Linked DNA regions of Nothobranchius furzeri. The protein of the gene in region 1 purifies or fractionates together with the protein of each later gene. This does not show direct contact. Links are inferred from orthologs where the notes say so. Each region holds a gene or a part of one and is shown on either strand. Other genes may lie near its edges.

Region 1 (8,204 bases):
GTGTGTGTGTGTGTGTGTGCGTGTGTGTGTGTGTGTGTGTGTGTGTGTGTGTGTGTGTGTGTGTGTGTGTGTGTGTGTGTGTGTGTGTGTGTGTTGCACAGCAATGCGGCTCAGAAAAGCTGCAAGTTAACGGTAACAATCGTTTTTTGGACCTCCTCTCGCCAACCAGGAACGCATTAAGACGCACTTAAAGAATATCTTATAATGTTTAGATAAGATTTGAAAAGAAATCTTTATAAATACGTAAATATATGTTTTAAAGAAATATGGCAACTAGAAAACAATATTTGGCCTCTAAGATATTTATTCTAAATACTTGTATTATTATTATTATTATTATTATTATTATTATTATTATTATTATTATTATTATTATTATTATTATTATTATTATTATTATTATTATATGTTTTGTTACAGTTAATCCGAACCACGTGGGCCCGGAGCCGAAGCGGTTGCGGACGGCCTACACGCGCCAGCAGGTTCTGGAGCTGGAGAAGGAGTTCCACTTCAGCCGTTACCTCACGCGCCGCCGCCGGGTGGAGGTGGCTCACGCGCTCTGCCTGTCCGAGCGTCAGGTGAAGGTGTGGTTCCAGAACCGGCGCATGCGCTGGAAGAAAGACAACAAGCTGCCGAACACCAAAGGAAGAAGCAAAAACAAGAAAACCACAGACAACAACAATAACAACGACAGCGTGAAGACCGCGATAAGCGTCTGAAACTCCCCAAAACAAGAGCAGAAAATGGAACTATCGCCGCAAAAACTCAGGTTGCGGAATTGATCCAAGGTGATTGAAGTCTTGAAGGACAATTCTAGGTGAAACCTCGCCGGATTGACCAAAATCTTTGTGAATTCTTTAATCTATTTCTTCTTTTTCACATTTTATTCTGAAGGATTTCAAACATTCCTAATTTACAGGTCATAGAGGCTGCAATCTTTTCTAATGAATGTATTTGAGTTGTAATAATCTTTTTTTCTAGGGTTGCAGACGATCTGTCACCTTTATAGTACAAAAACAACGCAGTTTCACTGATTTCTAAGGATAATGAGATGTCTTTTTGCCTAAACAGGGTTTCTTTCTACAGGGTAAACTTACAGGGTTTTATATTAGCTACCTAAACTAATTTATGAATATGCACATTACCAAAATGTTCCACAAACTGGCGCTTAAAGGCTTAAAAACAAACAGAAACCAGCAGCAGGAAGATCAAATCGCTCGCTGGCTGACTTAGTTGGATAAATACTGTTCTAGCTTTTTGTAGGAAAGTAGCCATATTGTCCTGTCCATCCCCAAAAAAAGTTTATTTTTTGTTGTATTTTTTAATTTTTTTGCTTTTGTGGGCACAAATTAGAAGTAGGCCAGCAGATCATGCACAACATTGATTCAGCTGATGTTCTCAGGGTGACAGGGTTTTATAAAAAGAACTTCCTTGACTGTTTGTTTATTAGCCCCTTATGTTAATGTGGCATACGAAGCATTGATTTTATTCTATTGAACCTTTACGTCAGTACTTATTTTGTATGATTTTAGAAACGTGTTTTATTCTTTTACCAATTGTCTTTGTTCTTTTTGAATCTGTGTTTATTTTTTGAAAAGAAAACATCATTTGATTTTTTATACGTTTAAATGTTTTGATAAAGTAGATAAAAAAGAAATAAAAAAAACTGAATCTGTGTGTGCAGGAGGATTTTTCCTTTATGTGTGTGTTTCATGCAGGGGGACCAACGGAAGTGACGTATGTCAACATGAAACTATCGTCTCAAACAACAAATCCAAAATCCAAAACCTTGCACTAAAAACATTCCACTGAATTAAAAATTATATAGAGAAATATATGCAATGATGTAGCTCTGTTAATTGAATTAAACGAATTAAACGTTAAAAATGTACAAATTTAAATGCTTTCCACGCGATATTTCTCCACTATTTAACCAATAAAGAATAAACTTCATGACTTGATATTAGTTTTTATACTCAATAAGTATCTATTTACTCTTAAAAATAAAAAAAATATTAAAGTACGAGCCTTTGATTTAGGCTGTTAACGATCTAATTTTTTTTAAGTTGCAGAAGGTCTTTGCTGAGTGTTGATTACCGGGACAAGAGGCGCCATTAATAGGCAGCTTCTGGTCGAGACGCGGTTCACACCAGCAGCTAGGTTCAAACCATCGACATATGCATATGGTTCAAACACTGGAGCATCACTAACAACAACTGGTGCAGCAAAATGTGGGACTTTTAAATACACACACATGCAGGCCATGTTTATTTAATTATTGTTACTCACACACAAAACGGTCTAATGTACCCACTAATTGGGTAAAATAGGGTTCGCATTTGCAGGTTTGTTCACCATCCTCCTTATGTAAAAACAGGAGCGCTCTCTACTGGTGGATTTGCCACTGCATACTGACAGTGAGGAGCAGATCAACAAAGTATTTTAAAAGTTTACCCCAAAATAAATAAATAAATAAATAAATAAATAAATAAATAAGGTAGCTACAAAGTGTTTGCAAATAGTGTCAGTGTGCTAAAAGGATTTAACAACCAAAGTTCAATTTCAATTAAGAGTTAAAAAAACCTTATAATGAATTGAATACATTTAAAAAAATAAATATGTTAATTAATGGGCCATTAGATCGACACCTTCATAATACTACAATTATAGTTATGAATACATAATTCAGAAGTGCCACTTTAAGTCTCTCTGTATATTGAAAACAATTGCAAATGGAAAGAAGACAGCCTTACACCTTACACTAACAAGGAAGATCTCGAGTCTGAAGAATGGTTGTCTAAAACTAAATATAAGTCTGCTTTAAGAGATTTAAGTGGGTTAACGTGGACTAATAGTTGTTATATCCCAAAATGTGTACTGTATACATATTTTGATTTAGAATTTTTGAAAAATTTCAAACGAATTTCTGCTTTTTAGCCCCCATTTGGTTTTTGTTGAGAAGCTTAGACACCAACATTTCTCAACTGAGGAGCAATAAAGAGGCTATTCTATTCTATTCTATTCTATTCTATTCTATTCTATTCTATTCTATTCTATTTGATTCGAGATCATACAGATGTGATGAGATTAAGATAAACGTTTTGCTTTTTGTTGTTTTACCACTGAATAACTACACATCGATCTCAGGAAACTTAAAATAAAATGTTGATTTTAAACGCGCAATTTAAATGCTCCCAAGCATAAAATTAAAGTAAATGTTTCTAAGGTTTGTGCGTAAAGTGGAACCAAACATCAGACTGCCTGTGCACCGGGGGACATCAAATGCGGGCGGAACCATAGAGAACAACACTTGTCCTTAACCTGACATGAAACACAAGTCGAGTAATAATCGCTGTCTGTAATTACAGTTTAGCAATAATAGTGTTATACAGCACCATGTCTCTGGCAGCGGAGGCTTTCGTGTCGCAGTTGGCAGGTAAAGTGTTTAATTCAGGCTCTTAATGATCGTCTAGGTTACCTTTAGCTCTGAGCTAATGGTTAGCATCTCAGAAAAGGGAGTTTACTCACGTGTATGTGACCTTTTAAAACAGAAAGCTAAGCTGGACATTTAACATAACCTATGCCTATAAACAGAAGTGGTGTCTGACAAGCTAGTAATTCCGGATAAATGAAGGCGATTTGTTGCAGCTAGCTGCTGCTAATCACAGACATTTATCAACTGATCATCATTAAGAGCAGGTTTTAGCAGTTTGCTGCTCTGGAGGTGATGCTAAAGAGGAAAATTGTGTAAATGTTTAATCGTTTTATTCCAAGCAATATATTTATTAAGTGGAATATAGTTTAAGAAATCTAGATAAAAGTTTAGTAAGAGGTTTGTTAGCAAAAACACATCATTTATATTTTTATTTAACCAGGAAGGACCCATTGAGATTAAAAAACGTAATTTTCAAGGGAGTCCTGGACCAGAAGGTTTCCTGTGATTGAGAGTTCAAATAATTTCATGCACTTGCTCTACATTAAATGGAATAACATTAAAAGAGGCACCAGGGGTCATTGGGCAAGCTGTGCAAGGGGAAACAGGAGGTGGTCCAACAGAAGTAGACATAAACCAGATGAGATCAAATGTTTGTGAAAGCAGTTTAAAACCTCAGTTCTATCATACACCTGGACAGAGTTGTTCCAAACAAATTTAGGATAACGTGAGAACCGTGTTGGCAGATAAGGACTTAAAGAGCAAATTGCAGGTTAGAGACTCCCATGAACCAATGTTTAGAGAAACATAATAGAAACTCGTTTTAAAAGTTTTTTTTTACACATACATGAATTATTTAGGCTTTTAGAGTCATTTTTGTGAGAAAGTTTTTTTTGTCAAACCAAGTGACGTCAGAGGAGGACTGTTAGCTTAATCCAGAGAAAAATATGGATTCTAATGCGGCTCTGACACAGAGGAAACTTTACATGTTTGTATTTCTACTTCTGATTGACCAAAACCATAAAGTTATGAGTTTGCTGCACGCCCCAGAGGGCAGAGACAAACCAGAGGGAGAAATCATTGGCCAGAGGAGAAGCAGCAGGTAACATCACAATATTGTACAGATTACTATCGTGTACCAGACAATTAAAATAGTATTGGTCAGTTAATATAATATAATACTAATGAGCGTCTGTCAGCGGTCTCATACTCGTTAATATCTGTTCACCTAACGTAGTTTAGTGCTTTAGAGAGACGGAGAGCTTCCGGTTCTGGAGCTCATGCGGGCTTCTGTGAGCTGGATCCAACCTAAACACAAGCAAGCAAGTCCAGTTGGTATTTTTAAAAGCTGCACATGATCCTCTCCTGGTTGTCCGGGCGGCGGTTCTGATCCGGTTCCGAGGTTCTCAGTTGTGGTGGATAAGTAATAGTCTGATTTGGCATTTTTGAAGAATAGTACATTTATTTCTTAGTTAGATAAACATCTGATTAAAAGTATTTTTCCTTCAAATTGACTTTAGCAACTTAAGTTTTCAAATGTGCATCACGGGTTGACCACAAACCACGTGAAGCTGAGATCTGGAGGTGGAACCAGGTTTGGTCACACAGCTGAACAATGTTTCCAACTACGGTACATCAGAAAACCCAAATCAGACTGACCCAGATAAAACCAAGGAAGTCACGTTTTAACTGTGCATCATGTCTGCACATGTTTGTTTGTGACTGACAGCTGCTGAGCCTTGGCCTGAAAATGCAACCCTGTACCAACCCCTGAAGGGTAAGACCGAGAACTGGAAGAACAATCCTAATTATTTATTTGCCAGTTCTCTAGGTGATCTCCTTCTTTCTTTGTTTATTTCTAAACAGAAGATCAGATCCTGCTCTCAGACCATGCGTCGTCTCTTGCTGTGCAGGTAGATTGTTTATGATTGTGCTCAAATGTCTGCATGTTTATTCTGTGTGGTCCTCTATTCCTGCCATAGTCTTACATTTATGTAAAGCAGCATACAATGATTTTATTCATTTAAACTGACAATTTATTCCATCTATAAAGGGATATATTATATAAAAATAAGTACATATTTTTAAAAACCAACAGGTTTTCAACTAAGCATCATTTGAACTTGATTTACAGTGAATTAGTTGTTTTATATCTTTTTAGTTTCCAGCCATTTTTGGAAGTTTTGTTTTTACATCTTCCCTCAGTGACCGTTCGTCTGGTTTCTCCTCTGCAGGCCTATCTCAGGATGTGCGGTCTACCTGTGCAGGTGCTTTGCAGAGTGAACTCAGAATTCATGTCGCCATCTGGTCAGTACACATGCTGTTCCATAGCCCTAATCCCCACACTTTGTTCTTTCAATCAAGCTTTTTATTTCCTTTTCCTGCAGGGAAAATTCCCTTCATCCATGTAGGGAACCAGGTGGTTTCAGAACTTGGTCCGATAGTGCAATTCACCAAAGCTAAGGTGATGCGACAGTTTCACAGAAACAGATCAACTCAAAGTGTGGATTTGATCGTTCTTATAAGGCTCGTTTTTTTCTTCCCAGGGTCACTCTCTGAGTGACGGCTTGGACGACGTTCAGAGAGCTGAGATGAAAGCTTACATGGAGCTTGTTAACAACATGCTGCTCACTGCCGAGGTACGACACAAATACGCATAGGAACAACACACGGTTGTTACCATAACAACTCCTCCACCTCTCTGCAGTTATACATCCAGTGGTGCGATGACGCTACAGCGGCAGAGGTGTGTATTCTCATTCTTTGAGTATTTTTTTTTTATTGTACTCTTTATCGTTTCATTGGTGTGTCTTTATTTTGAGTAGATCTCACGTCCCAGGTACAGCAGCCCTTACTCCTGGCCTCTCAGTAAAATCCTGGCCTATCAGAAGCAGTGGGAGGTGCGCAGGAAGATGAACGCCATCGGCTGGGGAGGGAAAACGCTTCAGCAGGTCAGTAAAAAATAAATCAGCCGATACATTGAGTATTTGTTTTGATGTCTGGCTCTCTTTTAGGTTTATGAAGATGTGAGTCAGTGCTGCCAGGCGCTCTCTCAGAGGCTGGGGATGCAACCGTACTTCTTCAACAAACAGTATGTATCCAGTAAACCTGATCGGTTCTGTAATCTGCTGGCATCGCTTGAGCACCACCTTGTGGATCATTGTTGTCACGGCGTCTTAAATTGAAGACATTCTCATTGAAAAGGTTAATTGTTTGTTGGGTGAATTTGGTCTGTAATGGTTTTGTAAATGGGGCGAACAAAATGAATAATACAATTTTTGAGTAAAGTATCTGAGTGTATGTGTGTGTGTGTGTGTGTGTGTGTGTGTGTGTGTGTGTGTGTGTGTTCTAGGCCCACAGAGCTGGATGCACTGGTGTTTGGTCACCTCTTCACCATACTGACCACCAGACTGACCAGCAGTGAGCTGGCAGAGCGGGTGAAGAGCTACAGCAACCTGCTGTCCTTCTGCAGACGCATCGAGCAGACTTACTTTGAAGACAAGAGCTCATGAAGGCCCGATAAATGACCTCGCCCTGTACATTCTGCATTTCCGTCTCTCATTCTCCTGACTGTAGCACACAGCCCCCTAAAACTGCCCATTTGAAATATTCTCTCCTTTTGCTTCCTGCCTGAATGTCGCATGCAGCTTGAGAGATGATAGTTATTTTAAGACATGAGAAAATGTTTTTTATTAAAGTCACTGCAGATAAAAGAAAGTCCACGAAATGACATTTATTGCCAATTAACAAGGTATATATGTCGCCTCTAATAACGAGTTCCAGAGAATCATCGAATGTAGAGCCGATGGGAGCAGATGTCGTAGTTTAGACTGATTGGGTTTTTGAGTTGAATGGATGCTCTGTGAAACAGTCATTTGCATATTTATTTACAGTCTACCTTTCCACCAGTTGCATTCTTAGGTTGCTGGAAGATTTTTTTTTTGAGCCACGTTTGGAACGGTAGGCGTATGAATTTCACAGCTGTGCAACACGACCAACTTTCAGAGGGCAGAACTCCACTTGACCCCAGTTTGAGGTCAAACCGTGCACATTTTATTTTTCTCCTGGGGTGCTTAGAAGCTTGTAAGAAATGCAGAACAGCGTTGGCAAACCCAGAGCTGCTTTTGTCTTCTATTGTACAAAGAAACTAAACGGGAACATAGTGATGATGGTGTGATTTAAATGTTTTTCCACTTTGTTTTCCTTATGTTAAAGTGCCTAAGGCAGATTTTCAGCTCAATAAACTTTTACTTTCCCCAATAAATGTATTTTTGTTTTACTTTGAAGCTCACGTTTTAATGTTATATTTCAACTTCAAAGGGGAGTGCAAACCAAAATTGAAAACAGCTGCAAAGATAAGTCCGTGAGGTCTATTTGTGGCTCCAGTGGCAGCTGTATCCACACTTGAATGTGTTCCTGCCTCCAGGTCTCATACAAGCTCATTGGTAACGTCCGATCACCTCTGGATGCCCTGCTGTTGACCAGGTTGTGTGTCTGTGTGTCAGACAGAGTCAGCGTCTGTCTTCCAGGTTTCCTGTGAGGTCGGGGTTCGACCTGTGAACTTCCAGGAGCTGTGACATCATGAGTGATGAGCCACACTGACCAAATGCTGCACAACTGGAGGTCGTCAGCCAGTTAACAGATGGAGATAAACTGGATCAATGCAGTCTTCTGACTTCTGCTTTTTACTAAACTGTGATGGAATCTTTTCATTTTATTTTTTTAAATTCAGTCAGATGTGATGCTCCGGGTACGTGTGTTTCATCTGTCT
Region 2 (7,739 bases), on another chromosome or scaffold:
CAAAGGTAACTCATAAGGTGAATATATATGAACCCAGGTAGCAGTTTCTCTTTAGGATTGAGAGGAGATGCAGGAAGATAATAAACAGGCAGGACAGAAAAATAGTCAAATAAAAACAAGTTAGTTTTTGTACCTGGTGGTTGCAACAAACAGACACCATTGAAGGTAATCAGAAGTGAGGAACAGAAAATGAAATAATTATTTTAATGTTTAGAGCAGCAGGAACTCCGAGAGGCTGCAGGCGCATCAGTGAGTTTGCGGCCGCTGTGCAGGGGGAGGGGGGAGAGGGCTGAAGCAGAAACTACCGTTGTTAAAAGAAATGTGTTTAACTTTGAAAATGTGGGTGCAATTTTAATTGTCAAAAACTCCAGCGAACCATTAGTTCATTTTGCTCAAATAGAAATAGAGGCCTGCCTCAAATTCTGGCCCTCCTTCCAATAAAGGCCTGGGGCTTGGTGAGCTTGAGTCAAATACAGGCCCGGGCCTGTATTAGAGGATTTACGGTATGTTAGGACTCCCTGTGGAATTGAAATTACGTAACCTGATTTTAAGAAACAGGATACAGGTCAACAGGGTGCACCCAAGAGATTTAAAAGGATGTACACTTTGGCCAAGTGATTAGAATATCGTATGTTAAATGTTTTTTGGTGTATTGAGTGTTTTTTTTTCTTTTCATTATTGTTAAACTGTGTTTTTAACTACTCAATTCAGTTAGTAAAATTTGGGTTGTTTAGAAAAAATCATCTTCTGGTTTTTGAGTCTGACTAAAACACACCACTGTGCTCCTATGTCCGAACCTACTGGTCCATCATCATAATTGGTAAATACAGAGGTGTTACACCAGTCTGTACCTGCGTAGGCGTACCTAACTTGCTTGTCTCCGCTTCAATCAGTCAGAATCTATTTCAGCGAGGCGCCGAAGCAGCAAACCTGTCACACTTAATGCTCACAAAGACCGACAGGCAAAGAAATTGTAATACAGCCCACATATCAAATTAAGCACAGCCAATTCAATCCCTCAAAGCTCACTTTTCTGCTGTATTTGATCAGAACGATCCTACACACTCAATTAAGTGTGATTTAGTTTTAATTGTAGGATTTACAGTGAAGCACGTACCACACATCCCACTCGTTAAACAGGTGCCCATTAGTGGAATTGTAACTTGATTTATCATACTCTCTTTATGCGTTTTCTATTGTTCTACGTAAGATTGTTTTTTATACTGTACCTGAAAAACAATGCAAGAAATGAATTACTAAACAGAACCAGGTGTGAAGTCTTTAACTGCAGAAACAATTAAACAACTCTTGGTGTTTGGGCTAAAGCCACTGTGTGCATTTTAGAACATCCCTAGGTCAAATTTAGGTGGAAAAATGCTTAATTTCTTCAAGAAGAAAGCATCAACACAGCCAGTCACGTGATCGTAAGGTTGCAGGTTCCATCCCAGCTCCAACCAGAAAGGGCTGCTGTTGTGTCCTTGGGCAAGACGCTTAACCTGCCTGTATCAAGTATTAGGAAGAAAAAAAACTTCACAAATCAGAAACAAATAATTTATCGTAAAATAAATTATTTCAAAAAGCATCAGGTATCAGGAAATAAACTTCAAACAAAAAAAACAACTATAATTAACTAAAACCCACCACGCTTCATAAAGTGTCAAATGAAAATAATAAATAAAACAATTAAAACATCTGTTTGACAAAAGCCTCAACTATTAGGAATAAATGTACCAATACATTAAAAAACATATCAAAATAATATGGGTCCAGGATAAAATCAGAGATCAAAAATACAGAATCAATTATGAAATGTTGTGTTTGTCCCGATACTTGAAGTTTCTCCATGATACCTGATGTCTCTTGTTCTGGTGCAGTTTAGCTTGATCTGCAACACGATTTCCTTTGTGCCTTTTCATATAAAGATCTAAAATGTTCTACAACGGACTTCGAGAGACTCTGAACAAATGTTTAAAATTAAATCTAAATATATTAACCAGTGTGTGAATGTGTGTGTGAATGGGTGCATGACCCTTGGGGGGGTTGTAGAACCCTAAGAAGGTGCTATACAAAAACAGGTTACTTACCATAAAATATAAAACCCAGGAATGTCAGTAGCATGGAAAGACAACGGGGGCTTAGCCCGCAGGGTTGTGGAATGGAACTGGCACGTACTGACAGCCAAAAGAATCAGGGGAGTGTCCAGGGGGTGGCCTGGGGTAGCAAATGCCACCCTTGGAATCTGATTGGCCACCCCAGGGGCCACCACACTGAATTCACTTTAAATTGGCTTTTCATTGTTCACAAAAGGCTTGGGGTAAAACAAAAAAATGAAATAAGCATAACCATTGGTGCCACCCATGTACAAAGTAGTGCCTCACCTGGGCCACCCCATTTTCAAAGATCTGGACACGCCACTGAAAAGGATGTGTTATAATTAGAGTTTGTAGAAATTTTTAAGTGCGCACCTGAACCTTATAGATATAGTTTGTGACACGATGAGAATTACTGCCTTGGGGTAATTTTTCGGGGGATCTGAAGCCCACCCTAAATAGGCACAATGATGTCCATTATAAAATTTGTCCACCAAGCACAGCTGATTGGGCGACGGTGGCACAGGAGTTAAGCGCTCGCCCCGTAACCGGAAGGTTGCAGGTTCGAGCCCCGCTCAGTCTCTCTCTGTCGTTGTGTCCTTGGGCAAGACACTTAACCCACGTTGCCTGCTGGTGGTGGTCGGAGGGACCGGTGGCGCCAGTGCTCGGCAGCCTCGCCTCTGTCAGTGCGCCCCAGGGCAGCTGTGGCTACATCGTAGCTCATCACCATCAGTGTGTGAATGTTTGTGTGAATGGGTGAATGACTGATTGTGTTGTAAAGCGCCTTGGGGGGTTCCAGGACTCTAGAAGGCGCTATATCAAATACAGGCCATTTACCATTTACCATTTTGTTTTGACAAAACAATGCAATTGAACAGTCATGTAAACTTAACGCACTGAAGTGACTATTTATAATCCCAAATCACACAGATTTTAAACACCAGGCGTATGGCCATTGAGTATCTAATATAAATATCTATAATTGTGCTGAAGGAAAATCCCCATTGGGTAACTGACCGTCTTCACGCTCTGTGATTGGCCAGTCATATAGGGCGCCTGCCCCTCCCTACACACAAAACTCTGCAGCCCCAGTCCGGCCCATGCATCCACACACACACACACACAGATGGTAACGGATCTCTCTGTGCTTGCATCTCTGTTGCTCACGTTTCTTCAGAACTCCTTAGGTTTTCTTCAGCTCACCTCTTTTTCGGTTTAATATTTAAAGTTACTTTTTCGTAACGTACGTGGTGCATTTGACAAGACAGAGCTGAAAACGGCTCGTGCTGAATCGCTCACTGCCTCCACTCGGGTTTCTCTCTCTCTCTCTCTCTCTCTCTCTCTCTCTCTCTCTCTCTCTCTCTCTCTCTCTCTCTGTGTCTGTCTGTCTGTCTGTCTGTCTCTCTCTTTATGTATTAATTCATGCATTTAAATATTAATGTTCTAATTTAATTGAAAAACTTGTTCTGTAACAGTTCCTTTACTATTGTGATAAAAAATATTTAATCTGAATTCTGAGGCTGCTCTGTAAATAGTTTTCAAATAAACAATACACATAGCAACTTTTGATCATTCCATATCAATGTCAGACTTAAAATAATGTATAGATGTAAACCACACCCACTTCCGGGTTAGGCCACGCCCACTCCGAGTACAGATACAGATAATTTAGATGGTTGAACAGTAGGGATGTGAATCTTACCCCCAAATTCCACTACCTCCGCTCCCCACCTTCCGCAGCCGCTCGCTTCCGAACTCAATTTTTACTGGTACCCGCTCTACAACGGCTCCGCTCCATTGTGGAGACCTGAGGTGCGCAAACAAGCATGCGCAGGATTTTCGAGATCCTGCGATACAGTCCGAGCAGTAAACGCGGAAGTTAGATCCAAACACCTGTTGTGTGGGAGAAGCATCTGCATGAGCTGTTTAATCTGCCCATCATTTGTGTTGAGAGATCAGCAGTGTTTGGATCAACAAAGTGTGTCTACTTTGATAGTGGAAACTGTATTCATAGCTTACTTTTGTGCATTTAAAGTTCAACCGCCACTGATAGTTGTTAAAAGTTGTTAAACCTGTGCATATGAATCAAAAAACACTTTTTGTTTATCGATTTATTGTTAAATAACGGAAGTTGTGCTTGCTCCCTTTCCTGTTGGGCGGTTGTGATTCCTGTCCATTGACTGCGGAGGTGCTCCGGCGTCCGGCAAAAATAGGATCGATTCTATTTTTGCCGGACGCCGGAACAGAGGGCGGCGCACTGCCGCAGCACGGCTGCAGTAGTGGAATAGCTCTGATTGACTACAACGGGACCGATTTTGCTGCGGAGTTCGTGGCGGAGCGGAGGTAGTGGAATTTGGGGGTTAGAGCAACTCACGATTTGATTTGATTCTGATTCTTGGGGTGCTGATTCGATTCAGAATTGGTTCTCGATTCTCAATTTAAATCGATTCACAGTCAGTATTAACAAAGAGTGTCAACTCCAGGATTAACTACTTTGTTGTACAAGTTAGTTAAAGCTATGGGACACTGGTCATGCTCCAAAAATGCAAATTTACAATGTAAAATAAAGTGATTCTAAAACTGTAAACAGAAGCAATCTTTTGACCAAAAGGCAACATTTATTTTTGCTTATCTTGTAAAATATAACAAATCTGTAGATCTCAAACCTGTAACATGCCAAATATTTGAGTTCTTGAAATCGATTCGGAACCTTTGTGAATCGATTCTGAATGTTTATAAATAAGAATCCCGATTCAGACTTGAATCGACTTTTTTTTCAGCACCTCTAATGAACAGATACAGATAGTGGTGTACTTGCTCATCCCTAGTATCTAATAGTTTCTACAGTACAGGACTGATCAGGCAAATGAAATCTTCCGACTGATTTCCCCACATGCAGCCATGCCGTAATCATAGAATCATTTCTGCAGGGTCTAGGGCAAATCCGTTTCAAAATGAAACTGGTGTAAGAATCGTGGAGTGATGCTTCAAGTTTTATTCTTGAAGTACTTCATGTTTTACTGTCAGGGAAAATATACGGAAAACAGGATTTTTGTTGTCTTCATGTTCACGAATCTTTCTCTGGGTGTTTGTTGTTTCTTTTTGCAGGTCTCGCAACACAACTCCAGTGTGTTCTGGCCTCCAGGCTCAGATTTTATCCTGCTACAAGGACAACAAGGAGCAGACTCTAAGGTGCTCAGACCTGGCTAAGGAGTACATGCAGTGTATACATGCTGCAAAGAAGGTAAGAGACTTTAGGTATCTGTAAGAACCTGATCATTCAGATAACATCTCCCCATCATTGAAGCCTTGAATTTACATTAAATGAACACCATTTGCTTCTAACTAGATTATCTTGGAACCAAAAGTTTAAAAACTAAATGAAAGTGCCTTTTTATATAGTCAAAGAACCACACTTTCTAGTGGAGGTGTTCTGATTTAGAGCAGCACATACCCTTTGTGTTCTTTTTTTGTGTCGACGTTAAGGGGCACAAGGCGGTAAAAAGTTATAATTGCTAGGATTTTGAGTGTTGCGTCTCAAGGTTTTTACACACAGAAATCCTGTTATTGAAAACAGATTTCAGAGCGAAAGTCTAAGTTCAAAAACTTAAGTTCTTCCACTCGACTTGAGTTGTTTCCCCACGACTTTAAACTGACAACAGTGTGGTTGCTTTAAAATAAGTTCACCTCGTCTCTACAGACGGGTGTTGGGGCTAATTTTAGGTTGTGTTTGACAAAAAATTAAAGCGTGGGATGAACAGAAAATATGATCACTCAAGATAACGATGAGTTTAAAGCAAGATGTTTTCCCAGATGGTGTCATTCGATGTTTTTCCGAATATTTTCCTCAGCAATGCAGTGGATATGTGTAACAGAAGAAAATCTAAAACTGGAATGTAGGAGCATTGCAATTTTCATTTCTTTATTTGTGTTAATTTAAACAGTTTGGCTCCAGGCTGTGGTCACTTAAAGAAGATCATGTTAGAAAGTGTATTTCTAAATCCAGTTTAATTTATATTTTATTACGTTTAATCTATTAAATCTGCATCTATTGGCTCAACTTTTAGTCACTGTCCGTTTTCGCAGCAGCAGATTAGTGTAATTGTTTTTTTGTCTGATTTGCTTCTCATATTTACTTCCGTGTGTCATTATTAAGCTCTGGAAAGTCATGCTTGTTTTGTGTTTGTTTCCTTTCAAATAAGTCATAGAACTCTTAAAAGTCACTTTTACTCTCAAGTCTTTTTTTTGTCTTAACTCTTTGTTCTTCAGGCTTCAGTGATCTTTTACTATTATGTATCACTGCTAAAAAAAACTACTTCTTTAAAACTAATGAGCTGACAGTGAAGTTACCTTAAGAACAAAAAGCAAGATTCAGGCCTAGTCCACACGTAGCCGGGGTTTTTTAAAAACGAATATCCGCCCCTCCAAAAACGTGCATCCACACCACCTCGTTTTAAAAACAAACTGTCCACACGTACCCGGATAAATATGTTGTTAAGGACATGCCAGACCTGTAGGCGGCAGTACTTCCCCCATTCTTAACCTCGTCCTTCGTCTGTGGTCTTCCGCGAGGAGCAATAATTCCGCTTGCAAAAACAAACAAGCAAAAAAGCGCTTGGACAATTGATGGATCGGGTAGTGACAGAGCGCAGCTCTGAGGGCTTCCATGATGCCGGCTAGTGTAAACACAGGTCGCACACGTGATGTCAGCATTTTTTTGTCGCGGAAAGTGACGTTGTGGACCTTAAAACTCCGGTTTTGTCCGTCCACACGCAGACACCCAAAACGGAGAAAACGCAGATCTTCACTTTGGCCGGAGTTTTTAAAAAGATCCGTTTTCGTGTGAAAAAAACTCCGTTTTCGTGTGGATGACAGGCCAAAACGTAGAAAAATATCTACGTTTTGGCAGATCCCCGGCTACGTGTGGACAGGGCCTCAAACTATACAAGTCTAGATTATTATAATTTTTTTATTTAGTTAAAAGAGAGCACGAATAACTTTTTTGTTTTGATGCTGAAAGCACAATTAGTGATGCACACTACTTTAAGAGATTAATGACCTGAATTATTTGATTTGATGTCAGTTAAATTGACTAAATTCTTAATCTATTATTGATTTTTTTTACCACAATTTTGATTCAAGCTGAGCTGTAGAGATTAATAACTGGTGTATATTTCCATTGGTGTTGCGTTTAAATGTGTGTTTAAATGGTCCATCTGAGTGAATATTTAGATTTTCTTGACTAAATAAATAAATAAATAAAACATCCTTCCTTCTGTGGCTGGGTCATGGAGGCAGTAGCCCAAGCAGGGAGGCCCAGACTTCCCTCTCCCCAGTTACTTGGGCCAGCTCCTCCGGGGGAATTCTAAGGCGTTCCCTGGCAGACGAGAGACCTAGTCCCTCTACCGTGTCCTGTGTCCTCTTTTAGGTCTTCTACCTGTTGGACATGCCCGGAAAACCTCACAAGGGTGGCACCCAGGAAGCATGCTACGTTCCCGAGCCACCTCCACTCGATGTGGAGGAGCAGCGGGTCTACTCCGAGCCCCTCCCAGATGCCTGAGCTTCTCACCTTATCTCTAAGAGAGAGCCCAGCCATCCTGCGGAAAAAAAACTGATTTCAGCCACGAATATCCGCAATCTCGTTCTTTC
Region 3 (7,739 bases), on another chromosome or scaffold:
TTATATGTTTAAGTGGCCTAATTTGGACTTTTAACATGTGGACATTTCCACATTGTGGGGACATGTTGCTGGTCCAGGGTTTAAGCCTGGACCACACAGCGAGTTTTGGCCGTCGTACAGGATTGTTCCTGTCGCTGTACGACAAGATTCCAGTGAGGCGGACCGCACGTCTCTGTCCCTCAGGACACGCTCCGTCGTGAGCGCACCTCCCAAAGCATACGTCACTAAGCAGACTAGAACAAAGCTGGAAAGTTAAGAGCACTTTTTTACGTCGGCTCATGACCCAACTCCGAGAACAAGCTGCGTTTTTAAAACCCTCGCTTTGGCGTCAGACTGTCGGAGGCTGATTTGGTCGTGAGACGGTCACACTGGACAACCACAAATCTGCAAATCACCCTCAAGTTCACGTTTTTTTTACCTGATTATGCTCCCGACGAGGGATCTGGCTAAGATGGCCGCAAATGGCACCGTGTGATGCGGGCTTTGGAAGTTTGGAATGAACTAACCTTTAGTTTAGGTTATGGTTAGTGGAGTCACGCGTGTGTGTGTGTGTGTGTGTGTGTGTGTGTATTACTTGGCTTTTGAGAGTGTGGTCGTGGCGTCCTTTACAGCAGCGGTTCTTTCAGCTAAAGCAGCTTCTAGCTCCTTCCACTGGGTGGACTTTTCATCAGATGGAGCCTGGACGAGGAATGTGAAATCATTTAGGAGACACCCATTCATCCGTCCTACCGAGACGTTTTCCTGGAACATTTTTTGCCACATTACCTCAAATGCTCTCCACACACTGATGGAAAAACTTTTTGTTTTGTCAAAAGGACGAAAACGTTTAATCGCCTCTGAAACTCAATCGTGGAACAGCCTCATCCAACCCAGAGCAGGCCCACTACCTAGACGATTGGCCCGCAACCCAATGAACCTCAACTGACGGCCCGCGGGCCACATCCAGTCCGTCAGACCTTTGGGCCCTAATGCCCCCCAAGGGGGGGACTTAGAAGTTTAGCAGCAAAATCCACGTTCCAAATATAAATAATTGTTTACATTCTGCAAACACATTTAATTACAACCAAAACAGTTTAGATGGAAAACATCCATTCTTCCATCCATTTTCATCCGCTTATCCAGAGTCGGGTCGCGGGGGCAGTACCCTAAGGTGAGAGGCCCAGACTTCCCTCTCCCCAGCCACTTGGGCCAGCTCCTCCGGGAGAATCCCAAGGCGTTCCCTGGCCAGGTGAGAGACATAGTCCCTCCACCGTGTCCTGGGTCTACCTTTAGGTCTCCTCCCGGTTGGACGTGCCCGGAAAACCTCACCAGGGAGGCGTCCTGACCAGATGCCCGAGCCACCTCAACTGACTCCTCTCGAGAGCCCAGCCACTCTGCGGAGGAAACTCATTTCGGCTGTTTGTATCCACCATTTTGTTCTTTCGGTCACTACCCAAAGCTCATGACCATAGGTGAGTGTAGGAACGTAGAAAGACCAGTAAATAGAGATAAATTTGCCTTCTGACTCAGCTCTCTCTTCACCATGACAGAGCGGTACAATGCCCACATCACCGCAGATGCAGCACCTACCCACCTATCGATCTCCTGATCCAGTTTGCCCTCATTCGTGAACTTGAGATACTTAAACTCCTCCACTTGGGGCTGGACCTCATCCCCGACCCGGAGAATGGTAAATTGTCTGTATTTGTATAGCACCTACTTAGGTTTCTGCAACCCCCCAAGGCGCTTCACAACACAATCAGTCACACACACATTCACACACTGGTGGGGGTGAGCTACAATGTAGCCACAGCTGCCCTGGGGCGCTCTGACAGAGGCGAGACTGCCGAGCACTAGCGCCACCAACCCCTCCGACCACCACCAGTAGGCAAGGCGGGTTAAGTGTCTTGCCCAAGGAGGACACAACAGCAGCATTCTCTGGTCGGAGCCGGGATTGAACCCGCAACCTTCCCATTACTGGACAACCCGCTGTACTTCCTGAGCTGCTGCTGTCATTCTACCCTTTTCCGATTCAAGACCATGGTCTCGAATTTAGAGGAGCTGATTGTCATCCCAGCTGCTTCACACTCAGTTAAGAACCGCTCAGCAAAAGCTGGAGATCACGTTCTGATGAAGCCAACAGGACCACGTCTGCCAAAAGCAGAAACCCGATCCTCAGGCCACCAAAACGGATCGCCTCAACACCTTGGCTGCACCTAGAAGTCCCATCTATAACAGTTATGAACAGAATCGGTGACAAAAGGCAGCCCTGACAGAGTCCAACTCTCACTGGAAACGAGCCCGACTTACTGCCGGCAAGCTCCGACACCGGTCACACAGACCTAACAGCAAAACTCGTAGATTAGTCGGGCGAGCTCCCACGCACCCTCCTGGACCCCGTAAGGGTGCAGAGCTGGTCCAGAAACAAAGCCGTTTTAAATATTAATAAATTACAACAAACAATAATACTTAAAGTGTATTTTAGAAGAGCGTCTTGCCCTCACGGTGTCTGCTGGAGAAAACTCAGGTTTAGTTGAGGACCCCAGCCTAAACTCACCCATCAGACAGCTCCTCCGAACATCACTCGCCTGGCTGCACATACCGCTCCGTCCTCCGCGGACAGGAAGAGCAACCAGCGGAAGAGCCCGGCGTCACAGATGGAACGTCCTGTTCCGTTTGTAAATCTCACTTCAGGAGTTATCGTACATGTTCTGTTTGGAGTCCACCTCCTGATGATCGACAGCTGCTGCCTCTTCATCATTTCAATAGAAGGAAGACACATTTTTCTTTGCCCTTGGGCACGGTTAACTTTACCATTTTGTCTTTTGTCTTAAAGACAACAGGACACCTCTGCTCTAGCCCGACTTGTCATCCTGCGAGCGCGCGCACACACACATACGTGCGCGCGCACACACACACACACACACACACACCTAGAACCACAGGTATCCTCAGGTTGACCCACCTCTGCCTCCATGGCGTCCTTCAGCTTGCGTGTGTGCTGGGTGACAGCCTGCAGAGCCACCTCCTGAGCTCCAATAGCCTGCAGCGTGGCCTTAGCAGAGGAGGCTAGAGAGTCCTCCAGACGAGATGAAAGGGCTGCAAAAACAACAGCAGGCTCAGAAACCTCTTAAAGCTTCAAGCATAAACCCCCGATGCTGCAGACTACCACGCTTCTAAACCAGGGAAGCTTCATTAATGTGTGTGTGTGCGTGTGTGTGTGTGTGTGTGGTTATCCGCTCACAGGCCAGAAGCTTCTCTTCCTCCTGGTCTTGCTGGACCAGTCTAGCAGTGACCTCATCAACTGGACGTTCCTTTAGAGGCTCTGCTGACGCGACTGCTGCCGTCTCTGAAACATCAGCGTGTTTGTGACACTCCTTACACTCGTCTGTAGGACACACACACACACACACACACACACACACACACACACACGAAGCAGCATCATATGAACCTAGTTCATGTTTTTTAAACAGACACTCACACTGATGGTGGTGATCTACACTGTAGCCACAGCTGTAAGTCGCTTTGGACGAACGTGTCTGCTAAAACCACAAACAATGACCTGGACAGAGCCTGGGTTCAAACCGACAACCCACTGGTTACAGGACAAACTCCTAACCCCTGAGCCACCATCACCTCCATCATGTGACCCAAACGTCTGCATGGCTGAAGCACACCCTGTCTCCATAACCACGGTCTCCTGTGCACAGACGACCTGGACATCACGTGACCACCCGGTGACTCTGAAGGTGGTTTTCTACACTGGGATGGAACCATTTAGAACCTGGTGGAGACCAGATTAGGCTTTATGCCCTGCTAGGTAGAACCCTGGGCCTGGAGGAGGCTGGACTTTATTCAGACACCAGTAGGTCCAACCCAAGGCCTACAGGCCAGCACCAGGTCAGAGCTTCCAGAGGGGAGGAGAACGTACCTGCAGCTGCCTCTGAGTCACACGTAGCAGGAACTGATGGGACCTCACTGATGGCCGAGATGATCTGAGTCGCCTCTGCTGACGCTTCTGCATGAACACACACATTACAGGCACAGCGGGTTGGTGTGTGCGCTTACTGAGTTATGTAAAGACAGACCCACCCAGTCCCTGATGAGACACTAATGGCCCTTACACACTAGCATCAGCTCCACCCCGCCTGGACCGGGTTAGGGCTGTTCTCATTCCTGCACACAACCCCTCTTCCCAAGGCGGTCTGCCTGGAACCGAACAAGGCTGACAAACCCACCGCCGGTTGATTGGCCAGCTCAAAATCACGCGTGCCATTAGGGGGAGCGTCCAATTGGCAGATAGAATCAGACACACACACACACACACACACAGTGCTGGCAGACACAGCAAAGCACGATACAAAATCAGAGTCCGAGAGTCCCAAAAGCAAGACTGCTCCGGCTGCTTCTGTTCAGTAATGGACACCGCGGCTGCAAATGCGCTGGCAACGATCATCTGTATGCAGCAGCAGAGCAGGCCGAGGCAGATCAGAGCGAGGGGGACATATATGTCGCAGGTGCGATGAAAAAAAAAATCTGTGTGCATTAAACTATTTTTACACGTAGCACTCGTGCGACATCTTTTCAAGCTACTCCCCCCCCCCCCCCCCCCCAGAACTTTATTGAACAAAGGTACGTTGCTTGCTATCGTGTAAAGAAGATGCCTTTTACTGGTGCACAACGTGCTAACAGGTGCTGTGGAGGAAAACAGAAACCAGAAAAGACACAAAGGCAGAAACGGTCCAAAATCTAGGATTAAAAGTGGAACTACGGGTAGATTAGCTAACGCTAGCGAGTAGCAGATCAAGTGAGGTTAGCCAGGTGGTTAGATCCTGCTTTTTCCAGTTTCGCCGGCTACCAAAGATGAAATCCATCCTGACTAGACATGACCGGCACACAGTGATCCATACATTTGTGATCTCTGGCTTTGATTATGCAAATTCCCTTCTTTATGGATCTACATCTTCCTCGGTTGCGCGCCTACAGCTGGTGCAGAATGCGGCGGCCCGCCTTTTGACGGACACCAGAAGGAGGGAGCACATTAATCCTGTTCTGGCCCAGCTGCACTGGCTCCCGGTGCGTTACTGCATCCAGTTTAAAATTTTACTTCTTGTTTTTAAGTCACTCCGTCTTTATGCTGCTCTGTACTTGACTCAGCTGGTTCTGCCCTACGTACCTGGTCCCAAGTGTTTGGGCGAGGACGCAAGGAGAACGCGCGTTCTCAATCTTTGCGCCTCGTCTCTGGAATCAACTCCCTCTAGCAGTGAGAATGGCCCCCTCTCTCTCCGATTTAAAATCACGCCTGAAGACTCATTTTTATTCCGTGGCTTTTACTTCAGCCGAGTTAGCATTGTACCATGTCTCTGTTTTATTTTTATTGATTTTATAGTAGTCACTGTACTACTTTTATTACTTTCTTCCCGTGTGTGGATTTTTATGCTCTTTTACTGTGCAGCACTGTGGTTGGCCTCGGCCGTGTGGGAATCTGCTTCATAAATAAAATGGAAGTTCCAAATAAACACGATGGTCGTGAAACTAAGAACATCTAAACTCTACCAGCGGAAGAAAAGTCCCCGCCATCCTGTTTATTGTTAGCTTTCTGCAGCACCAGGGAGCAGAACCTCTGGTTGCTGCTTTGAGTCTGCTCCGCTGCGGGGTTATGGCAAGCCACCGTAGCATGTAATTCACAAACGCATCTATCCGTGAACGCAATTTAAACTGGATTAGTGCCAACCCGTACATGTGTCACCATTACATGTTAGCAGTAGAAAGTAAATGTTATTAGCGTTTCCAGTAGCTAGCTACTGAAAATGCTAATTAAATTTTAACTAAGGATACATTTAGGTGACAGCGTGTTGTTTTGAACGCCACTGAGCTGTTATCTAATCAAGTTCCATTGTTAAATGTTCCCGTTTAATCTGATTAATCGAATCGATGACCCAAATAATCGTTTGTTGCAACCCTACACCGCGCTCTTTTGCCCCGCCCACATGCTCAGAGATAACCTCCTGACATCACAGGTCACTGACCGCCCATGTGCCCCCCCCCCGCTGTCTCACACATGTTCTGCACTACTCTTCTCTACCATTTCTGTCCTCGTCTCCGGCTCATCCACCGTCTGACCCTGGAACCAACCCTGCTGTCTGTTCCCGTCACCAACGAGTCCTTTAGGGTCTGCACCGCTCTCTAAACTCTTTCATCATCTAAATCATCTAGCTCATATCCTACCTGTGGATCAGAATCACTAACAATGAGGATTATTATTCCAACAAGCATCAGGCTCCTCAGACTACCTGACACTCGTCACTTCCAGAATGATCCCAACACCAGCTATTCTGACCACTTGTGAACAAGCAGCATCTTTTAGGCAGCGTAGTTTTAAATCTACAAGGTAATTCATGAAGTCCAACCAGCCTGTTGTCGTGTTTTAACGTCGCCATAATCAAATCTCGTATGCGTTTATTCACTCCGCTTGGCCCAAACGCAACACCAAATGAAGCTCATTGCGCTCCACAGCTGGCTCTCCTTCAGCGGCTAATCTGTGGTAGCTTCTGCAGGAGCGGCTGAGAAACGGTGAGAACCTCCTACCCTGTATGCTCTGAGCTGGCGGTGGTGGGACCAGACTGGACTCTGGGCCACTTGCCTCTGCTGCCTCCTTCACACTCTTCTGGGACTTGGCTTTGGGATCCGTTTTTGGTTTATCCAACATGGAGGGTGGCTGGTTCAACTCCACCTGAACAGAAACCATTAGAGATAATAAAAAAAATAATGTTATTGTTCCTAACTACTGAGCCACAACACGTCGAAACAACTTAGCAGCGTAGTCTAATCCAGCTCCTACAAGATCATCCCTGAGCCCCAAGTCCATCGACACGCTCAAATGGTTTACTTAAATCCAAACTTCCTCTGCTGGGAGACGAAAGTGAATTTTGTCACGGTACAGCTGCCACGTCATGTGACCATGAGATGATCTTCCATTTTCATCACAATCCCTAGTTTGTGGCAGCAGCTCAGGGAACACCTAAACCGCGCCTTCTGGTGGCGGCACGCCAGACAGCGAAGACAAAATCAGCACAAATGATGAGAGCCGTCGCTCTAAACAACAAGCCCCGCCCCCTTCTTTAGCTCAGGTGGACTTCACAGGAAAACCTTAACAGGTGACAGGAACTGGACTTTGCGTGTGAACAGGTGTTCACCTCCGCTCCTCACCTGTTTCCTCACAGGGAGACGGGCATCCTCAGGAGCTGGTCCCAGAGCCAGGCCCAGCAGCCAATCAGAGTACGGGACATTCTTCTCCACAGCTGCTCTGAACTTGGGGTCCCATTTGGAGTAGAGCAGTGTCCCTCCCACGCCTCCGCCTACCGTCACCAAGCCGAGAGCAACCACTCTGGAGGCGCCGCTGTGATGGGGAGGGGCAGACGGTTAGGTTTTTACCTGTGAGGTGTGTCCTTACCTCACCTGAGGGGTCAGTTACCTGCTCCTGCTGGTGGAGTAGCACCTGTAGGACTGCAGCGGAGTCAGAGGACTTCTCACACAGTTCTTCTGAAACACACAATGTCCCAGGTACAGTGAAGGCAGCATCTACGGTTGTGACGTCACCTCCAACTAAACTCACCTGTAAACATCAAATCTCTGAACACACAGGTCACCTGAGAGGTGCTCGTTAGGGTTCGGACCCTAATCCTTACCGGTACCGGAGGGAATGTAAACAAAGCCTAACCGCGGGCTAACCAGAGACGCCAAACTGGACCGGATGT

What was found.
Region 2: the proteins of mtx2 (region 1) and chchd6a purify together in Homo sapiens (co-immunoprecipitation; 3 studies listed by BioGRID and IntAct, counting the BioPlex papers as one, with this or other methods). This does not show direct contact. The link is inferred for Nothobranchius furzeri from reciprocal best matches to the Homo sapiens genes MTX2 and CHCHD6.
Region 3: the proteins of mtx2 (region 1) and immt purify together in Homo sapiens (co-immunoprecipitation; 5 studies listed by BioGRID and IntAct, counting the BioPlex papers as one, with this or other methods). This does not show direct contact. The link is inferred for Nothobranchius furzeri from reciprocal best matches to the Homo sapiens genes MTX2 and IMMT.

What each region holds. Positions count from the first base shown.
Region 1 is NC_091752.1:28,394,653-28,402,856, forward strand, and holds mtx2 (metaxin-2), read left to right. Parts: upstream 1-3,254; 5' UTR 3,255-3,396; coding exon 3,397-3,436; intron 3,437-5,162; coding exon 5,163-5,210; intron 5,211-5,299; coding exon 5,300-5,346; intron 5,347-5,667; coding exon 5,668-5,740; intron 5,741-5,820; coding exon 5,821-5,897; intron 5,898-5,979; coding exon 5,980-6,072; intron 6,073-6,140; coding exon 6,141-6,179; intron 6,180-6,258; coding exon 6,259-6,384; intron 6,385-6,447; coding exon 6,448-6,524; intron 6,525-6,785; coding exon 6,786-6,945; 3' UTR 6,946-7,697; downstream 7,698-8,204. Other genes in the region: homeobox protein Hox-D4b, read left to right, coding at 421-719. UniProt on the Homo sapiens protein: Involved in transport of proteins into the mitochondrion.
Region 2 is NC_091755.1:50,940,230-50,947,968, reverse strand, and holds part of chchd6a (MICOS complex subunit mic25a), read left to right. Parts: intron 1-5,198; coding exon 5,199-5,334; intron 5,335-7,739. UniProt on the Homo sapiens protein: Component of the MICOS complex, a large protein complex of the mitochondrial inner membrane that plays crucial roles in the maintenance of crista junctions, inner membrane architecture, and formation of contact sites to the outer membrane.
Region 3 is NC_091741.1:108,910,900-108,918,638, reverse strand, and holds part of immt (MICOS complex subunit MIC60), read right to left. Parts: intron 7,525-7,739; coding exon 7,457-7,524; intron 7,382-7,456; coding exon 7,192-7,381; intron 6,716-7,191; coding exon 6,571-6,715; intron 4,001-6,570; coding exon 3,914-4,000; intron 3,368-3,913; coding exon 3,224-3,367; intron 3,079-3,223; coding exon 2,945-3,078; intron 679-2,944; coding exon 575-678; intron 1-574. UniProt on the Homo sapiens protein: Component of the MICOS complex, a large protein complex of the mitochondrial inner membrane that plays crucial roles in the maintenance of crista junctions, inner membrane architecture, and formation of contact sites to the outer membrane.